Macaca mulatta: one gene and its partners. The protein of the gene in region 1 interacts with the protein of each later gene in a pairwise test. Links are inferred from orthologs where the notes say so. Each region holds a gene or a part of one and is shown in the gene's direction. Other genes may lie near its edges.

Evidence for each region.
Region 2: the proteins of RETREG3 (region 1) and MAP1LC3A interact in binary tests that used the Homo sapiens proteins (3 or more experiments, as listed by UniProt). The link is inferred for Macaca mulatta from reciprocal best matches to the Homo sapiens genes RETREG3 and MAP1LC3A.
Region 3: the proteins of RETREG3 (region 1) and ABHD16A interact in binary tests that used the Homo sapiens proteins (3 or more experiments, as listed by UniProt). The link is inferred for Macaca mulatta from reciprocal best matches to the Homo sapiens genes RETREG3 and ABHD16A.
Region 4: the proteins of RETREG3 (region 1) and STAP1 interact in binary tests that used the Homo sapiens proteins (3 or more experiments, as listed by UniProt). The two-hybrid records come from large-scale screens. The link is inferred for Macaca mulatta from reciprocal best matches to the Homo sapiens genes RETREG3 and STAP1.
Region 5: the proteins of RETREG3 (region 1) and GABARAPL1 interact in binary tests that used the Homo sapiens proteins (3 or more experiments, as listed by UniProt). The link is inferred for Macaca mulatta from reciprocal best matches to the Homo sapiens genes RETREG3 and GABARAPL1.

The regions. Positions count from the first base shown.
Region 1 is NC_133421.1:66,945,786-66,949,299, reverse strand, and holds part of RETREG3 (reticulophagy regulator 3), read left to right. Parts: intron 1-3,125; coding exon 3,126-3,232; intron 3,233-3,514. UniProt on the Homo sapiens protein: Endoplasmic reticulum (ER)-anchored autophagy regulator which exists in an inactive state under basal conditions but is activated following cellular stress.
Region 2 is NC_133415.1:87,344,315-87,347,742, forward strand, and holds MAP1LC3A (microtubule-associated protein 1 light chain 3 alpha), read left to right. Parts: upstream 1-1,276; 5' UTR 1,277-1,431; coding exon 1,432-1,471; coding exon of another isoform or gene 1,472-1,492; intron 1,493-1,800; coding exon 1,801-1,856; intron 1,857-1,939; coding exon 1,940-2,046; intron 2,047-2,315; coding exon 2,316-2,478; 3' UTR 2,479-2,918; downstream 2,919-3,428. UniProt on the Homo sapiens protein: Ubiquitin-like modifier involved in formation of autophagosomal vacuoles (autophagosomes). While LC3s are involved in elongation of the phagophore membrane, the GABARAP/GATE-16 subfamily is essential for a later stage in autophagosome maturation.
Region 3 is NC_133409.1:150,617,224-150,621,209, forward strand, and holds the start of ABHD16A (phosphatidylserine lipase ABHD16A), read left to right. Parts: upstream 1-1,174; 5' UTR 1,175-1,204; coding exon 1,205-1,336; intron 1,337-1,617; exon of another isoform or gene 1,618-1,771; coding exon of another isoform or gene 1,772-1,795; exon of another isoform or gene 1,796-1,873; intron 1,874-2,350; coding exon 2,351-2,407; intron 2,408-2,732; coding exon of another isoform or gene 2,733-2,793; intron 2,794-3,154; coding exon 3,155-3,221; intron 3,222-3,466; coding exon 3,467-3,553; intron 3,554-3,986. UniProt on the Homo sapiens protein: Phosphatidylserine (PS) lipase that mediates the hydrolysis of phosphatidylserine to generate lysophosphatidylserine (LPS). LPS constitutes a class of signaling lipids that regulates immunological and neurological processes.
Region 4 is NC_133410.1:65,902,230-65,905,743, reverse strand, and holds part of STAP1 (signal-transducing adaptor protein 1), read left to right. Parts: intron 1-3,130; coding exon 3,131-3,297; intron 3,298-3,514. UniProt on the Homo sapiens protein: In BCR signaling, appears to function as a docking protein acting downstream of TEC and participates in a positive feedback loop by increasing the activity of TEC.
Region 5 is NC_133416.1:10,339,741-10,343,791, reverse strand, and holds the start of GABARAPL1 (gamma-aminobutyric acid receptor-associated protein-like 1), read left to right. Parts: upstream 1-1,244; 5' UTR 1,245-1,438; coding exon 1,439-1,528; intron 1,529-4,051. UniProt on the Homo sapiens protein: Ubiquitin-like modifier that increases cell-surface expression of kappa-type opioid receptor through facilitating anterograde intracellular trafficking of the receptor. Involved in formation of autophagosomal vacuoles.

The DNA.
Region 1 (3,514 bases):
AATTCCATCTCCAAAAAAAAGTACAAAAGGCCAGGTGCAGTGGCTCACGCCTGTAATCCAGCTCTTTGGGAGGCTGAGGCGGGCGAATCACAAGGTCAAGAGATCAAGACCATCCTGGCTGACGTGGTGAAACCCATCTCTACTAAAAAAAAATTAGCTGGGCATGGTGGTGTGTGCCTGTAGTCCCAGCTGCTCGGGAGGCTGAGGCAGGAGAATCGCTTGAAACCAAAAGGTGGAGGTTGCAGTGAGCCAAGATCGTGCCACTGCACTCCAGCCTGGGCAACAAGAGCAAAACTCCATCTCAAAAAAAAAAAAAAAGGTACAAGAATATCTAGAGACAAAATGTGAAGTTCCTCAGCCAATCCCCTGTGTACGTATGTATATTCAAGTGTACAGCGGGATAAATTTATTTATTTATTTATTTATTTATTTATTTATTTATTTTGAGACGGAGTCTTGCTCTGTCGCCCGGGCTGGAGTGCAGTGGCGCAATCTCAGCTCACTGCAGGCTCCGCCTCCCGGGTTCATGCCATTCTCCTGCCTCAGCCTCCCGTGTAGCTGAGACTACAGGCGCCCGCCACCAGGCCCAGCTAATTTTTTTATTTTTTGTAGCTTTAGTAGAGACAGGATTTCACCGTGTTAGCCAGGATGTTCTTGATCTCCTGACCTCGTGATCCACCCGCCTCGGCCTCTCAAAGTGCTGGGATTACAGGCGTGAACCACCGCGCCTGGCCTTTTGTTTTGAAATGGAGTCTTGCTTTGTCTCCCAGCCTGGAGTGCAGTGGCGCGATCTCGGCTCCCTGCAACCTCCGCCTTCCATGTTCAAGTGATTCTCCTGCCTCAGCCTCCCGAGTAGCTGGGACTACAGGCACGCCACCACACCAGGGTAATTTTTGTATTTTTAGTAGAGACGGGGTTTTGCCATGTTGTCCAGGCTGGTCTCGAATTCCTAATCTCAGGTGATCTGCCCACTTTGGCCTCCCAAAGTGCTGGAATTACAGGCTTCAGCCACCATGCCTAGTCTTTTTTTTTTTTTTTTGAGACGGAGTCTCGCTCTGTCGCCCAGGCTGGAGTGCAGTGGCCGGATCTCAGCTCACTGCAAGCTCCGCTTCCCGGGTTCACGCCATTCTCCGGCCTCAGCCTCCCGAGTAGCTGGGACTACAGGCGCTGCCACCTCGCCTGGCTATTTTTTGTATTTCTTAGTAGAGACGGGGTTTCACCGTGTTAGCCAGGATGGTCTCGATCTCCTGACCTCGTGATCCGCCCGTCTCGGCCTCCCAAAGTGCTGGGATTACAGGCTTGAGCCACCGCGCCCGGCCTGCCTAGTCTTTTCAGAATACTATGAAATGCTATTTATATTCTGTTCTAATATATACATGATTTTCATCCAATATTTGTGTTTTTGAGACAGGAATCTCACTCTGTTACTCAGGCTGGAGTGCAGTGGCCCATCTCCGCTCACTGCAACCTCTGCCTCCCAGGTTAGGGATTCTTGTGCCTCAGTCCCCCAAGTAACTGGGACCGCAAGCGCACTACCATGCTCAGCTCATTTTTTGTATTTTTTTTTAGAGATGGTGTTTCGCCATGTTGCTGAGGCTTGTCTCGAACTCCTGAGCTCAAGCAATCTGGCTGCCTCAGCCTCCCAAAGTGCTGGTATTACAGGCATGAGCCACCGCACCTGGCCAGGGCTCTACAGTTCATGTTCACATCATGTGTTATGTAGGGGGAAAAAAGGGAAAAAATTAAGACCCAGAGTGTAACATTTATGCTATCTGTACTAATCTGTGTTTCTGAATTTCCTCATTTAATATTAAACCAAAATTTATCTGAAAAAAATAACTACCTTAACATCTAAAAGAAAAAATTCCTTAGTATCATTAGATGTGTTTTCAATGTTAGATTTCTCAGACTGTTCAAACTTTTTTTATGGTTGATTCCTTCAAATAAGAACTAGCTTTTCCTTTATCTTACTGATGTGATGCCTTACACTTATTCATTTTTTTGTATGTTAAACCGCCCTTGCAGTCTTGGGATAAATCTCATTTGGTCATGGTGTATAATACTTTTAACATGCTGCTGAATTTAACTTGCTAGTATTTTATTGAAGATTTTTACATCTATATTCATAAGGAATATTGGTCTACAGTTTTATGGTGTCTTTGGTATCAGGATAATGCTGGCCTCACAAAATAAATCAAGAAGTGCTTCCTTTTTTGTTTTTTTGGAAGAGTTTGAGAAGCATTTGTGTTAATTCTGGAGAACTCACTTTTATTTATTATTTATTTATTTATTTATTTATTTTGAGACCGAGTCTCACTCTGTTGCCCAGCCTGGAGTGCAGTGGTGTGATCTTGGCTCGCTGCAACCTCTGCCTCCTGGGTTCAAGCAGTTCTTATGCTTCAGCCGCCCAGGTAGTTGGGATTACAGGCATGCCTCAGCCTCCCAGGTAGCTGAGATTACAGGTGCACATCACCACACCTGGCTGATTTTTGTATTTTTAGTAGATACGGAGTTTCACCATGTTGGCAGGCTGGCCTCGAGCTCCCGAACTCAGGTGATCCACCTGTCTCAGCCTCCCAAAGTGCTGGGATTACAGGCTTGAGCCACTGCGCCTGGCCAGAACCTGCTTTTAAATATAGCTTTCATGCCAACTTTCTATGTGACCTTAATCAAATATTTTTCAGGCCTCAGTTCCTTTATCTGTAAAAAGATATGTAATTGAATTAAATGCTCTTGAGTGCCTCTCTATCAGTTTGTTGCCCTACACTAGGGTCTAATTTGATAGAAAGATGTTGGCTTTCATTATAACAACTTGTTATCAAGGATGAATTTCTCCGTGAAATTAATAGAGGTACAGACTGGAAAGCTGAAGGAGCTTTAAGAAGTTATTTGATTTAGTCTTCTGTCTTTACAGCAGCAAATTATCCTCTCTGCCCCATAGGTACAGTAGTTAAGGTCCAGAAGGTTTAAATGATTTACCCAAAGTATATAACTAGTTAAGTGTCAGAACAAAAAAAGCTAGACCTCAGGTCTGTTTACCACAGAGCCCATAGTACACACGTGGCCTTTTCTGAAATTAGCTTAACTAGATAAATGATCTTTCTTCTGTTTTTCTTCCTCTGTAGGTTCTTTGCCCTGACATCCCTTCGTCTTGTGTTTTTACTTGCATTTGGCTTGATGATCATTGTGTGTATTGATCAATGGAAGAACAAAATCTGGCCTGAAATAAAAGGTGAGTTTGGTAGCATTTAGAACAGTCTGAACTGAAGATGGCCTTTCCTATAATTTGTACCTTTAGTATTAGGGGTTTATGAGGAGGTGTATGGAGCTGGGGACTGACTGTCTTTCGAAGTCTGAATCATTTGCTTTAGGAGGCACTTGAAGGACTTGTGCCCCAATTATGGTTCCTTGGAGCTGGGTTCTGCCCTTCCCATTGTTACTAAGCACAGGTAGTCTGTACTCACCACCTGACATATTTTTGCCAACATAATGGCCTGAGGAATAAGTAGTCCTC
Region 2 (3,428 bases), on another chromosome or scaffold:
GATTGCCCTCTCAGTCTCCCATGTTCTTCTGTCTCATGCATCTTGTTTCTGTGGCCCACAGATTATCCATTATTCATGTTGCATATTAAATACTTGTTTAGATTTACTGACATGTTTACTAATTTGCTCACCATTTTTCCATCTAATTTCTTCCTTTTGGGTTCCATGTCTTTGATACTGAAGTACATTCTTTAAAAATTATTTTGGCGGCTGGGCGCAGTGGCTCACGCCTGTAATCCCAGCACTTTGGGAGGCTGAGGCGGGCGGATCACGAGGTCAGGAGATCGAGACCATCCTGGCCAACATGGTGAAACCCCATCTCTACTAAAAACATAAAAAGTAGCTAGGCGTGGTGGCAGGCGCCTAATAATCCCAGCTCCTTAGGAGGCTGACTGAGGCAGGAGAATCGCTTGAACCAGGGAGGCGGAGGTTGCAGTGAGCTGAGATCGCACCACTCTAGCCTGGCGAAAGAACGAAACTCCCTTTCAAAAAAAAAAAAAAAAAAAGATGTTGATCTTCGGTCTGTGCCTTCTGCTCTGGATTTTAAGCATCATTTCTGACAGCTCTCATTCAGGAACTGCCTCTGCAGGTCTTTCAGTGCTCGCCTGTGGAGCTCTGCTCCGGCCTGCGAGTTCTCCTGGCGTTGCCATCCGTGGCCTTTTCCTTTTAATTCTCCATCACCTGTCCTCTGGTAAGCTGCTTGCTATCAGCCTCCAGGTCCACGATTTCTCTTCTGTTGTCCTGCTCTGCCTTCTTGCCACATCCTCTGAGACCTGAATTTCGATAGCTCTACTCTTCAATTATATTATTCTTTTTCAAACCTGGGCGTTCATTTCTAGCGTCTTGCTCTATCCTGTGTCTGACTGTGCCTCCCGCACCTTCTCCCTTCTCTTGCCCTGAGCCCCCTTGAAGGCGCCGGGCCTTTGGCTCCCGCTGTTTCCCACGGTGCCCAGAGCCGCGGGTCAGTCCTGACACAGACTCGGTGAGGGAAGGAAGTGGTGCCACGGGGCTGCAGCCTGGCCCACCCGCTCCATCGGCCCAGGGCGGCCCCACCGCTCTCCCGGCCTCACCAGAGTCGGGGCCACGGGAGAGGCTCCCGCGCTGCTCATGACGTCACGGGACTGTGACGCGCCCAGGAGCCCCGCCTCTCGTGTCCCGGGCCGGGGACCCAGGCTCTCTGCGCCGTGACGTCACGGGTCCGGGCGGGCGGGTTGTGCGTCGGCCCAATGGGAGCTGCGCGCCGGCCTCCCCTTTAAGGAATGTTGTGACCTGACGTCACCGGGCGAGTTACCTCCCGCAGCCGCCGCCGCCGTGCTCAGCGCGAGCGCCGGAGCCCTTGAGCGCGAGGCACGGAGCCCCCGGAGCCCCCAAACCGCAGCCACATCTCCGCGCCCCAGAGCCCCGGCCTGCGCGCCCAGCCGGGCCCGCGCGATGCCCTCCGACCGGCCTTTCAAGCAGCGGCGGAGCTTCGGTGAGGCCCGGCAGGCGAGCTGTGAGCTCGGGGTAGGGGTGCCGGGGAGGGGGGGTGCCCGGCCGACCCAGACTGCCGCAGGTGACGTCAGCCCCGTGACGTCAGGCTTCGGCTGGACCCTCGGGCTGGGAGGCTGGCTCCGGCCTGGGCGGGGGCTGCCTGCTTCCCCACCACGATAGGTGCCAGGGGCTGTGGGGCCTGACGGCCCCGGGGGCGGGGGCTGGAGCTGGGGCGTGGCCGGGGGCCGCCCCTTGGGGACAGGCAGGCGGAGACGTGGGGAGGACCTGGGCCGGGCCGACCCGGCCTCACGGTCTGGCCGCTGTCCGCAGCCGACCGCTGTAAGGAGGTACAGCAGATCCGCGACCAGCACCCCAGCAAAATCCCGGTAAGTCCTGCACCCCCAGCCCTGCCCCGGCCCCGCCTCGCGCGTCCCCGACACAACCCCCTGCCCGCCCGCCCTGCTCCCAGGTGATCATCGAGCGCTACAAGGGTGAGAAGCAGCTGCCCGTCCTGGACAAGACCAAGTTTCTGGTCCCGGACCATGTCAACATGAGCGAGTTGGTCAAGATCATCCGGTGCGTGGGCAGCCGCTGCCAGGTGGTGGCTTGGGTCGGGAAGGGAGACGGGTTCCCGCCGAGAAGGGGTCAGGGGTGATGGGACCGGTGGTGGACCCCTGTTCTGGGGCGGCTGGAAAGGTCAAGGTCGGGGCTGCAGTCGGTGCCGGGTCAGAGGTGACAGGTGGGGTGAGGATGGGTGTGAAAGGCTGGGAATCATTCTGGGGGTCAGGGCTACGTTGCCCCGTAGCCAAGCCCCTTACAGCCACATACTCTCCCGCCTGCCTCAGGCGCCGCCTGCAGCTGAACCCCACGCAGGCCTTCTTCCTGCTGGTGAACCAGCACAGCATGGTGAGCGTGTCCACGCCCATCGCGGACATCTACGAGCAGGAGAAAGACGAGGACGGCTTCCTCTACATGGTCTACGCCTCCCAGGAAACCTTCGGCTTCTGAGCCAGCAGTAGGGGGGTCGGCCTGGGAGTGGGGGGGGGCCCGGTCAGGCCCTGCCCAGAGAGCTCCTGGTTCCTGAACTGAGCTGCCTCTGCCGTGGTGGGCTGGGCAGGCATGTGCCCCCCTAGTCAGAGGGCAACCCACCTACTCTGCCCCTGGGTGGATCCTGGGCCGGTTGTGTTAGGGTTGTCCCTCTGGGTGCTGGCTGGGATGGGGGAGGGTTGGGAGCAGCCCCCAGCACCCCGCTGTGTGGTTCATCTTTTTTTTAGGCCCCTGCCTGACTGCCCATCTGCCCCTCACCCACCCAAGGCTCTGCCCACGCCTGGACCTGCCCACCCCTGAAAGACTGGCCCCTGGCTCCCCGCCCCTCGGTCTCCACATGGTGTATGGATCTGTGGTCATTGTCCCTCTGCAGAATAAAGATTGCTCAGGCCTGCCTGGCCCCGTGCCTCCAGCTGCTTGCTTGGGAGTGGGAAGGGTGCTGGTAGGGCTGTCTGCACCATCCCCGGGCTCTGGCGCACAGACTTGTGTTCTGTGGCCTCAGTGCTTGCTCTGGAAACCCACACCTGTGTGTAGTGTTCAGAACATTAGGGTCCAACCCTCTAGGAGTGCAATGCAGATGTGGTCTCAGGGTAGACTTCATAACAAAAAACATTTATTAAGTAGCTACAACCTAACAAGCCCTGCTCACCTGCCTCTTCTCCTTCCTGCCTGGGAGGGGGCTCCTTGGTGTGCAGAGCCACGAAGTGGGGGGGTCCAAGTTGGGGAGCTTCCAGTTCTTCCCCACAGGCCTTACTATCAGCCATGGGTCTCTTTTGGTACCAGAGACTTGTGACCCTGGACTCGAACCTCTTCTGCCCGAGCACTCGCCTGCTGGCAACTCTGACTGGAGGGCTTGGCCCAGCTTCTGGCCCCTCAGCCCCCTGAGGTCCACAAAGCCCTGTGCCAGCCAG
Region 3 (3,986 bases), on another chromosome or scaffold:
CCCCATATCTCACCGTGCTGAATTTTCATATCCAGGACCATGGTGTAGCTTTCCATTTATTGAAAAGCTTTTTGTTTACCTCTTTCTTTTTTTATTTTTCACTTATTATTGTTATTATTTTGAGGCCAGGCTCTGTCATCCAGGTTGGAGTGCATGGAGCAATCTTGAACTCCTGGGCTCAAGCGACCCTCCCACCTTGGCCTCCCAAGTAGCTGGGACTACAGGTGCGCACCAACACACCCTGCTAGGTCTTTTTTTTTTTTTTTTTTCCTAGGTATTTTGTGTAGAGATGGGGTCTCACTATGTTGCCTGGGCTGGCCAGGAACTCCTGGTCGCAAGCAATCCTCTCTCAGTCACCCAAAATGTTGGAATTACAGGCGTGAGCCATGGTCTGGAACTCCTGGACACAAGCAATCATCCCTTGGCCACCCAAAGTGTTGGAATTACAGGCGTGAGCCACTGCGTTGGGCCAGTTTACCTTTATTTATTTATTTAGAGACACAGTCTTGCTCTGTCACCAAGGCTGGAGTGCAGGGGCAAGATCTTGGCTCACTGCAACCTCTGCCTCCCAGGTTGAAGCAATTCTGGTGCCTCGGGCTCCCGAGTAGCTGGGATTACAGGTGCGCGCCACCCACGCCAGGCTAATTTTTGTATTTTTAGTAGAGACGGGGTTTCACCATGTTGGCCAGGCTGGTCTTGAACTCCTGGCCTCAAGTGATCCGCCTGCCTCGGCCTCCCAAAGTGCTGGGATTACAGGCGTGAGCCACCGCGCTGGGCCGGGCCAGTTTGCCTTTTCAGTAACTTTTTATAGTCTTCTTCATAACATCTTGCATTTCTTGTACTAGATATATTCCTAGACACCTTATCTTTTCTGTTACTCTTATCAAGTACTCCTAATCTCACCCCTTGTTTCCGCTGTCGCTCTAGAGTCTGCCAATAATGAGACAGAAAAAAATTACTGAGCTATGCCTGGTAATTTTCTGATTCTCCGCGTTCCTAAATCTTCCACTAGTTTCGGACCACTGCTGCACCCGTAGCCCCAACTGCGCGAAACTCTTCTCAGGAAGCACTGAAAATGTCGCAACTCGCCCGGAGGCGGAGCCGGTACGGGCTGACGTCAAGGGCACACAACACCTCAGAGGCAGGGAGGGCGGGGCCGGCAGGGGGACCTGCTGCTGGAAGAGCAGCGGCCCAAGCCAGGGCCATGGCGAAGCTGCTGAGCTGCGTCCTAGGCCCCCGGCTGTACAAAATCTACCGGGAGAGAGACTCTGAAAGGGCCCCGGCCAGCGTCCCTGAAACGCCAACGGCAGTCACTGCCCCCCATTCCAGCTCCTGGGTGAGTCGAGTTCCTCCCCGCCGAGGAACGTGGTACAGTCCAAACCCTTTACGGCCTTTGCTCCTCAGAAGTGCCCATAATGGGAAATAAGGGGAGCCTGCTTGTCAAACCAGTCGTCCGCAAAGTCTGCGCTCTGTGTGCTTCCTGAGTTAAAGTCACGCCTACGGACTGGCCGCCTCCTTTCTTTTTCGCTCTTTACCGCTATCTCATTTCGACTGCCACTCCTTGCTCTTTCCTCTCCGCGTCCCCCCACCCTGTCTGTCGTGGTTCGTGCCAGTCCTAGTTGAGTCTTAAGTCCCGGGAAAGAGACCCTGCGCGGACTGGAGAGCCGTTGAATTTTGCCGTCGAACTCCCAATTTCCTCTTTCGCAATGCCTCTTCGTGCCTCCCTCGGCTCCGTTTTTATCTTCCCTTTACCCTCGCCTTGAATTTCAGAATGACTTTTACAGATCCTGTATCCGTAGGTCCTCCCCTCAACCCCCGCCCAACCTAGCCTGGAGACCCGAGTCATTGTATTCTGGAGAGCGGGCGGGTGGTGGTAGGCTGTTCTAAATATTATCTTCCTCTTTATCAGTTGTCTCACATTGTGTTACTGTCTCCTACAAACTGCCCGCTCCTACCCACATTCTCTTCTTAGTCAACTACTCTTATTTCTGATGCTTTTCTTTCCCTCTTAGATTGTCTTGGTGTCTTTCTTCTGAAACTAACCCTTCTCCCCATATGCACGCGCCTGCAATCCATTTTAAACTAGACTGTGGAAAAGGAGCAAAAATCGTCCAATGCTGCTTTCACTTTTGCTTCCAAGTCCAGCTCCCTGTGTTTGTTCCCATGGTCAGGGGTGGGAAATTAGGTTCAGGGTGAGGGTGAGGAAGAGGGTTTTCTGTGGGGGCCGGGGATGTCTCAAGAGAGATAGTCAACGAGAGTAGAACCGGAGGACACACAGCAGAGCTTCTGAAAGGGAAGGAAAAGGACCTGCCAGTGGCAGGGTCCTTAAGGAGGCCATCTGTTTTGGCAGGATACGTACTATCAGCCCCGTGCCCTGGAGAAACATGCTGACAGCATCCTGGCACTGGTATGTCTACCCTGGCATCTGGGACTCTCTGCATCTTTCAGACCCACCTGTCCTCTTGAACTTAGCCTTCCCTAGCTTGGGAGCAACAGTACCCCTGGGGTTGGGGGATGCTCTGGGCTCTGCAGCAGACCTCTCCAACACAGACACACAGACACACTCAAAGTGTGCATACTTGGCACTCCCCTTTGGTATGTAGCACTGCTTTCTCTGGGGGCAGCCTGAGCCATAAGGAAAACATGTTTACTCTTGGGACCATCTGCAGGTGCTAAGTCCTGCAGTTCCCCAGTGACCTGTCCTCCCTGGCAACTAACCTCTTTGGCTGCAGGGACAGCTGTTTGTTCTGGCACAGTTCCTGTGGTGACGTCTGCGCATCTCTTGGGGACCAGGTCAGGGGCTGTCTTGAGCAGGGCCAATTGAAAAGGCTTGATTAACTTGAGTAGACAGAGAGACTGCCTTTAAATGTGATGGAATTATGCCTGGAGATGGAAGACATAATTCTTCCATAATTCCAGAGGAAGAAAATAGAACCTGTACCTAGTTTTCCCAGCCTCCATTACACTGACACACTACTTTTCAACAAATATTGAGCATCTACTGTATTCATGGTGTCATACAGCAAATATGATATGATATCCCTCAGGTTGTCCATCTTGCTCAGAGTATAGGCCTGGAATGGCAGGCGTGTGTGTGTGTATGTGTGTGTGTATGTGTGTGTATTGATTGCCTGTCCCTGTCTCTCTGCTGCAGGCTTCAGTATTCTGGTCCATCTCTTATTACTCCTCTCCCTTCGCCTTCTTCTACTTGTACAGGAAAGGTCAGTGTGGTTTCAAACGTGGTGGGGTAGCAAATGGGCAGGTTGTTGGCAGAGGAGCCAGCTCCCTAAAGAGGAGAGGGGACCTGTGAGGATGGCTTGGCTTCCCTCTTCCATCAGGCATCTTCTTCCTCTTAGGGTATGGCTGTTCCAAACAGGGAGTGTGGGGTGGAGGTTGGGGCTGAACTGGGAAGAGGAGCTGAGGAACACTGCGGAGAGGGTCTCACATTGTCCCTCTCCCTTCCCAGGTTACTTGAGTTTGTCCAAAGTGGTGCCGTTTTCTCACTATGCTGGGACATTGCTGCTACTTCTGGCAGGCGTGGCCTGCCTCCGAGGTAGGTCAAGATGAAACCTGGTTTGAATCTTATCTGTCACTGTCACTGGGTACATATTAAGTACCTTGTGCAAATACAGTTTAGTGATGGGCCCCGAGAGGGAATCATTGAGAATGGTTTAAGGCATGATCTTTTCCTTAAAAGACTTGGGTTATAAATATGAAAACAACAAGGTTTGCTTTTTTTTTTTTTTTTTTTTAAGAGAGAGGGTCTCACCATGTTGTTTAGGCTGGTCTCAAACTCCTGAACTCAAAGTGATCCTCCCACCTCAGCCTCCTGAAGTACTGGGATTGTAGATGTGAGCCACTATGCCTGGCTGCTATTATCTAGAAAAGATGCATATACCCTACAACAATTCTATATATGTATACACACTAGGGAAACTCCTCCACATGTATAAACAATATATATGTACAAGAATACAACATACAAC
Region 4 (3,514 bases), on another chromosome or scaffold:
GTTAGAGGTTCAACTACTGTGTAGGGAAGCTATATGAGGCTAGAAAAGTGGACCAGTTAAAGATGTGAAGAACATGTTGACTTCTGAGAGGGAGAGGAAGAAATCCTGGAGAATTGCACTCTTTCCCTCTGTTGTTGAAAGTATCACTGTGTGGTATGGTGCTTCCAATACGGGGTATAACTATCCCAAGGGTATATGTGACTAAGTGTCAAGGAGTACACTAAAAACACTGGCAAAAACTTGTTGCATCTTCCTGGTACACTAAGTACGTATAAAGTTTTGGCTAAACATTTTGTTTTTAGTTTCTTTCCTGGAGTAAGAATAAAAAGCATTATTTTTATATTAAAACACACACATAAATAAGTAACTGAATATAAGATAAAATTTATGATAATTTTTTTTTTTTTTTGAGATAGAGTCTCATGCTATCATCCAGGCTGGAGTGCAGTGGTGAAAGCTTGGCTCACCGTAACCTCCACCTCCTGAGTTCAAACAATTCTCCTGCCTTAGCCTCCCGGGTAGCTGGGATTACAGGTACCTACCACCATGCCCGGCTAAGTTTTTTAAAAAACACTTTGGGAGGCCGAGGCGGGCGGATCACAAGGTCAGGAGATCGAGACCACAGTGAAACCCCGTCTCTACTAAAAATACAAAAAATTAGCCGGGCGCGGTGGCGGGCGCCTGTAGTCCCAGCTACTCAGGAGGCTGAGGCAGGAGAATGGCGGGAACCCGGGAGGCGGAGCTTGCAGTGAGCGGAGATCGCGCCACTGCACTCCAGCCTGGGCAACAGCGTGAGACTCCGTCTCAAAAAAAAAAAAAAAAAAAAAAAAAAAAAAAAAAAAAAAAAAAAAAAAAAAAATGTTTTTAGTAAGAGATGGGGTTTCACCATGTTGGCCATGCTGGTCTCAAACTCCTGACCTCAAGTGATGCTCCTGCCTCGGCCTCTCAAAGTGCTGGGATTACAGGTGTGAGCCACCATGCCCAGCCTATGTGAATTTTTAAGAGAAGACAAGTTGCCTCAATTTTGTACTCTGTAAATGTTGTTTTGTGTTATGATTCCAGATCACGGCATATGAACAATTTACAGTATGTTGTTATTAGGATAACTTTAGTAGAGAAGTGAGAGCAGCTCAGACTGTATGTAGTTGAAAGCATGGAGACATTACTTTTGAATCAAATAAACCCCATTTTGGGTCCTGGTTCCATAACTTACTAGCTATTTGACTCTGGATTAGTTATTTAATCTTTCTGAGCTTGATTTTTTTTTCTATTTGTATTAGGCCATTCTTGCATTGTCATAAAGAAATACCTAAGACTGAGTAATTTATAAAGAAAAGAGGTTTAATTGGCTCATGGTTCTGCAGGCTGTACAGGAAGTATGGTGCCAGCATCTGCTCAGCTTCTGGGAAGGTCCTCAAGGAGCTTTTACTCATGGCACAAGGTGAAGGGGGAGCAGACATGTCACATGGAGAGAGTAGGAAAGACAGAGAGTGGGGAGGAGGTACCACACACTTTTAAATGACTAGATCTCACAAGAATTCACCCACTAACATAAGAAAAGCACCAAGCCATGAGAGACTCATCCCGATGACCTAAACACCTCCCACCAGGCCCCACCTCCAACACTGGGGCTAATTCAACATGAGCTTTGGTGGGAACACATATCCAAACTATATCACCATTTGTAAATTGGGGATAACAATACCATTTTTTTTTTTGAGATGGAGTCTTGCTCTGTCGCCCAGGCTGGAGTGCTGTGACTTGATCTCGGCTCACTGCAACCTCCGCCTCCCAGGTTCAAGCAGTCCTCCTGCCTCAGCCTCCCAAGTACCTGGGATTACAGGCACATGTCACCCAAAATTTTTGTATTTTTAGTAGAGACAGGTTTCACAATGTTGGCCAGCTGATCTTGAACTCTTGACTTCAAGTGATCCACCTGCCTTGCCCTCCCAAAGTGTTGGGATTACAGGCATGAGCCACTGCGCCCTCCCGTGTAACAGTACTTTGCAGCATTTCTGTGAGGAGTTGCAATACAACATGTACAATGCTTGAGATATAATAGCCAATTAATAAAGATATGTGCTTCCTTAGGTATTTTTCCCCATTATTTTATTTTTTCTGGTATATATGGAAATTGTTTTACTGGTTATTAGCTTAGTTATCTAAAAATGTCTCTAAGCCCTTTTTATTGTATATCCCTATTAGTAAATGTTTATGTAAATTTTATATGTACTTGTACACATATTCAAACATATATAATAATACAAATTAGTGAAATAGTAACTTAATAGAAAGTGAAGTTATAATGTTTTCTTCCCATACTCTAATGAACTTTCTTGTATACCTCCTGGAAAGCATGCACCCTTCTCTGAAGATAAAGGTGATAATCACATAAGGCTGCCTCCAAATACAGACTTGCTAGTGTTACGTACAAAAAATATCCTACCATTCAAACTACACCTTTCAAGAACACAGAACTGGTCATAATAAGGTCAAAATCGGAGGTATGAATATAAATCAGAAGGACATATATAGGTGAGTCAATATGAAATACATCTCTAGGAAAGGTAACAACCACCACAAAACCAACGAATAAGTAGAAATATCATAATTCTAACACGTGAATGAATGTTTGAAACACACCACAGACACAAAATAGGGACCTCTGACTGCCGCTCTTCAGTCATCTAATGAACAGTTCCATTTGAATCCCATGTTGCCAGATAGCTGGGGGAAATCATTTCAGATTACTTATGAGAGAGTAAGGTACCTTGAAGGTGTTCTGGAACTTCCCTGGCATTGATGAACTAGTGAGCTCAGAATGAAAAATATGAGGTTTGTTGTTACTTGAATTAGCTTTTAGTGCAAGGTGGGGTATTCTTTGCTTTGGGGCCAAACCAAAAGATTCCTTGGAAGAAGGGTAGGCACTCTGTGCAGATTGTAGTTGGTGCAGAGGCAGTTCTGAGACACCCACCCTAGACTAAAATCCTGTTTCTTATTACCTTATTCCCTACTCACTCACCTCTGTCAGGTAACTGCAGTCCTGTAGGATCAGAACAGGTTCATCTTTACTAAAGTTGTAAGTTATTAAGCTGTTTTCTTGCCTGCCTACTCTTTTAATTGGTTTCAGCTGTCAGTTCCCCAAAATGTGTCACTCCTACCTGGGCAAGTAATTAAACTACATGAAGTCCTAGAGAGAGAAAAGAAAAGGAGGATTGAGACAGAGCAGAGTACATCTGTGGAAAAAGAGAAGGAACCAACTGAAGATTATGTGGATGTACTGAACCCTATGCCAGCGTAAGTGCACAATGAACTGCAGTTTGTTCATTCAATTGTTAAAACTAATTTCTAATTATCAAGGAGAGTTAGCCACTTGCTCTTGCTAAGCCAGGGACAATATGCAGTCTTGGGGATAAACTGTATATCTCTGAGTACATGCCACATTTCCTCTTCTATGTCATGATGAACAAAATGCAGATTTGAACTAACCATCTTACCACACAGGAAATCCCCT
Region 5 (4,051 bases), on another chromosome or scaffold:
CTGCCTACCGTACTGGTTGGAAGGTCTTTATTCTTTGACTCTAGGTGGGGAAAGCGAGAACGAGGCTTCGCCGCACCTGCCGCAATGCCCAATCTTCCACTGGCATTCCAGGCAGCGCTTTCCAGCCACGTGAGGGATACCTAACCACTGGAACTAAATAAGATGTGGGGGAAGAATTGAGGTCATCACCTAAATTGCTTGATACTCTCTTTTCCAGAAGACAAGCCTCCTTTCTGAGTTAATGGCAGAAAGTGAATCACTTCTTTCTTTCTTTTCTTTTTCTTTAAGACGGTGTTTCGCTCTTGTCGCCCAGGCTGTAGTGCGATGCCGCGATCTTGGCTCACCGCAACCTCCGCTTCCCGGGTTAGAGCGATTCTCCTGCCTCAGCCTCCAGAGTAGCTGGGATTACAGGCATGGGCCACCACGCCCAGCTAATTTTGTATTTTTAGTAGAGACGGGGTTTCTCCATGTTGGTCAGGCTGGTCTCGAACTCCTAACTTCAGGTGATCCCCCTGCCTCGGCCTCCCAAAGTGCTGGGATTACAGGCATGAGCCACCGCGTCCGGCTAGAAAGTGAATCATTTCTGTATTTGATTGTACGTGAAGCCCTCCGTAGTCCTGACTGACATCACGTCTCCTTTGGACCTTGATTACACTCCGCGTCCTTCATCTGACTCCTCTCTTCAGATTCCTGAGTCACGCTCTGTTTATGTTGCTGTTCAGGAGCGAACTGCGGCGCGGCCCAAACACTGTGACGCCAGCGCGGGAGGAGGGCCGCGGGAGGGGCAGCGGAAAGCGCAGAGGGCACGGTGCAAGCACGGGACAGCTCTGCATTGGCCAAAGGGATCCCAGGAGGCCTGGGCCTCTTTTCCCCTGAGGCTGGATCCCAACCAGCAGGAAAAGGATTTTCGCCTTTTGTATTTGTTTTGGGGCCAAACCAAGAAAAACAGTGGAGGGGGAATAAAACATGTTTAAAATTGTTTTTGTCTTAAAACCGTCTTTCACAGTCACAAAATAAAACACAACTAGAATGTTTTGATGTTTGCAATGACATCGATTTTGAAAAACGTTAGCCAGAAAGGAAACGCAGTTAAGACAGCACTCGGCCGCCCCCTGCCCTCGGCGCCTGGGGGGCGGGGCGGGGCGCGCAGGGTGACGTCACAGCCCGACGCGCCACCCAACTGTTTTTGTGCTCCCAGCTCCAGCGAAAAGCCGCCGGTGTTTCTCCACCTGGCTCTCCTCTATCTCCGGGCAGGCTCACCCGAGATCCCCCCCACACCGAACCCCCTCTGCACGCTCGGCCCAGCGCTGTTGCCCCGGGAGCGGACGTTTCTGTAGCTATTTGAGCACACCTTGACGTCGGCGGAGGGAGCTGGACAGGGCCAGCAGCGAAGGAGGCAGGCCCCGCGCGGGGAATCTCGGAAGCCCTGCGGTGCATCATGAAGTTCCAGTACAAGGAGGACCATCCCTTTGAGTATCGGAAAAAGGAAGGAGAAAAGATCCGGAAGAAATATCCGGACAGGGTCCCCGTGAGTGTAGAGGAGCGGGGGGATGGGAGGGGAAGGGCCCGCGGGGGCGGGGGCTGGGAGTCGAGATGGCTTCCCTGGGGCGCCCAGGCGACTCTGGGGAAGGGAGGTGCCGATAATTAGTTAATCCTGAACGCCCTTCAGTGCCCGAGCCAATGGACGTCCAGACTGCGGAGCTTTTAAAACCACATATGCCTGGGGCCTGAACCCCACTTCAGGGCTGACGGTGTTTTTGGGGCCGAGCTGCCATCTTCAGTGACTCAGCAACCCACACGGTCTCAGCAATACTGAGACCCTGTGTGGGTTGAGGTGCGCAAAATAGCGCCCCTGTGTGCGAGAGTGGTTAGATCAGGGCCGTGGATTGGCTCCCTTTAAGAACGCGGGGACACTGTGCTGTGCGGTGAGGTTTGCGCAAACCCGGTCGATTTCTGCCTTGGCTGGTTCTCCTTTAATGAAGTTGACTTTGGCTGTCATATCATTGGGCTTGGGAGGAAAAGGTTCAGAAGCTATTCGGTTCTTTTCTTGCATGACAGGGGGGTAGGGGAGCACAAGACAGTCCGGGCCTGAAAAACAAGGTCACGTTCTCTGCGCAACAGCCCTCTTGCCTCATCGTTCTAGGCTCCGGGAAATGTGTAGGGACAGCCAGCCTCCCCCGGTATTGATTTCTGATCACCTGGCACCTGCACGCGATAAGGCAGGACTGAGACGTTTTTTCTGTGTTTTGGACACCGGCTTAAGTAGTTAAAACTAGCGCAGGTAGTGAGTAGGAACAGAGAAGAAACATTAGGTGTCTTTCAGCATCCGGGCGTTTTCCCCATTACCCCCTCCCCCGTCCCTTGCCTGGTGTTTCTCTAATGTGGGCTGCGCAGCCGAATTGGAGGGCAGAGTATGACTTTTAAGTGGTAAAGGGACCAGCAGCTGTTGGATTTTGGAAATGGAGGAGCAGAGATTTTTAAAATTGTGCTCTTTATCTTCAGGTAGGAACATCAGGATTACATGTCACATCATGGTAAAATAATTGCTGTTATCTGATGTCTTATCTTGATTCGCAGCCACTCTGGGTTTCTTCTCTAATCCTTACCTAACGTTCGTGGTTTTATAGCTACCAGAAGCCAGCAGGGCCTTAGCCCAGCAGTAGAAACCTCTTGTACCCCTTTTCCTTTAAAAAAAAAAAAAAAGTCATTAGGGCTCTTCCATTCCTCAGGAATTACCAAAGGGTTTTCAGTTTATAGAGGGGTGAGCTAATCCCTTACTCGGTAAAGGATCCTTTACAAAATACTTTGCTGGTTTCTGGACCTTGGATACCTGAAAATTTTGCCGAGTTCTGGTGATACCAATCTTTAGAGCAATGATATTTAAAAAATACAGTCATATTTTACTAATAGTTTACAGTAGCAGTATAAGTACTCAGTCTGTAATCATTCGCTTAATCTTTACACGATTATAATCCCCGTTCTACAGACGGAGTATTCAAAGCACAAAGAAATGCGGTAACTTCCTAAAGGTTTCACATTGCTGATCTGTGTTTGAGCCGGAATTCTAACCCTGTCTGACGGACTGTGGAGCTCTCGGAGACCTTAACCTCCGTGTCATACTGTTTCTCAGTTTCTAATATAGTTGTTATTAACCAGAATTAATGACGTGCTGTGGACTTCACACTGTTAAGTATTGGAAATAGATAAATACTTATGTGTATTCTGAATATTTCAGTGCATTCTGTTCTTTTCATGCTCATAGTTTGGTGTTAAATGTTTTACTCCTGTGATAATTTTTAAGCCATTAAGACTGTCACTCAGATTTCAGCTTCCCTAGGGTTATGTTTTAACCAGCGCTGAGCTGCTCCCAAGGTGCTCAGTCTGTGACCTTCTTTCTAGTTATGACGCAGGTTCCTTGATTTGGTTCTAGTTCTGGGAATTCACTGCATCCTTGGGCAGAACTTTTAATCTTGCTGTGCTAGATAGAGTGCCTTGTTTACAGAAAAGAGGGTTAGAGTAGTGGTTCCTAAAGCCCATTCCAGCTTGACCATTGGTGTTATTCAAGCAGTGGTGTATCCTGACTGCTCGCATAACCAGAGTTTAGTCCCACCAATATTTCTTCAGAGCTAACAGTTGAAGAGGTATGCTTGTGCCTTCAGAGAGGAGGGGTTGGTGGGATCTTGAAATTATCTTCAAAGACACAACATATCAAAAAGACTGCTAGAAACAGATTGTCTATTTTAAAAATTCATAGCTCTATTGAGTATTAGTCACATTTTACAAATGAGGAAAACTGAGACCCAAAGAGGCAAAGCATCTAGCCCAGGGTCTACCATAGTGAGGAGTAGAGTTGGGATTCCTGGAAATTTAACCTTGGTTCTGGGAAACCAATCCTTTAATAATTACCCCTCCCCCTTTTCTTCCTCTCCAAACCCCTGCCTTCCCTCCAGGTATTGCGGTCTGCTTTATCACTTTCTTTTTCTGTCTTCCTTTGTGGTTTTTCTCTCTTACTGCTAGGTCTCAGAGTTCCTTTGGGGCACAGTGCTAGCCT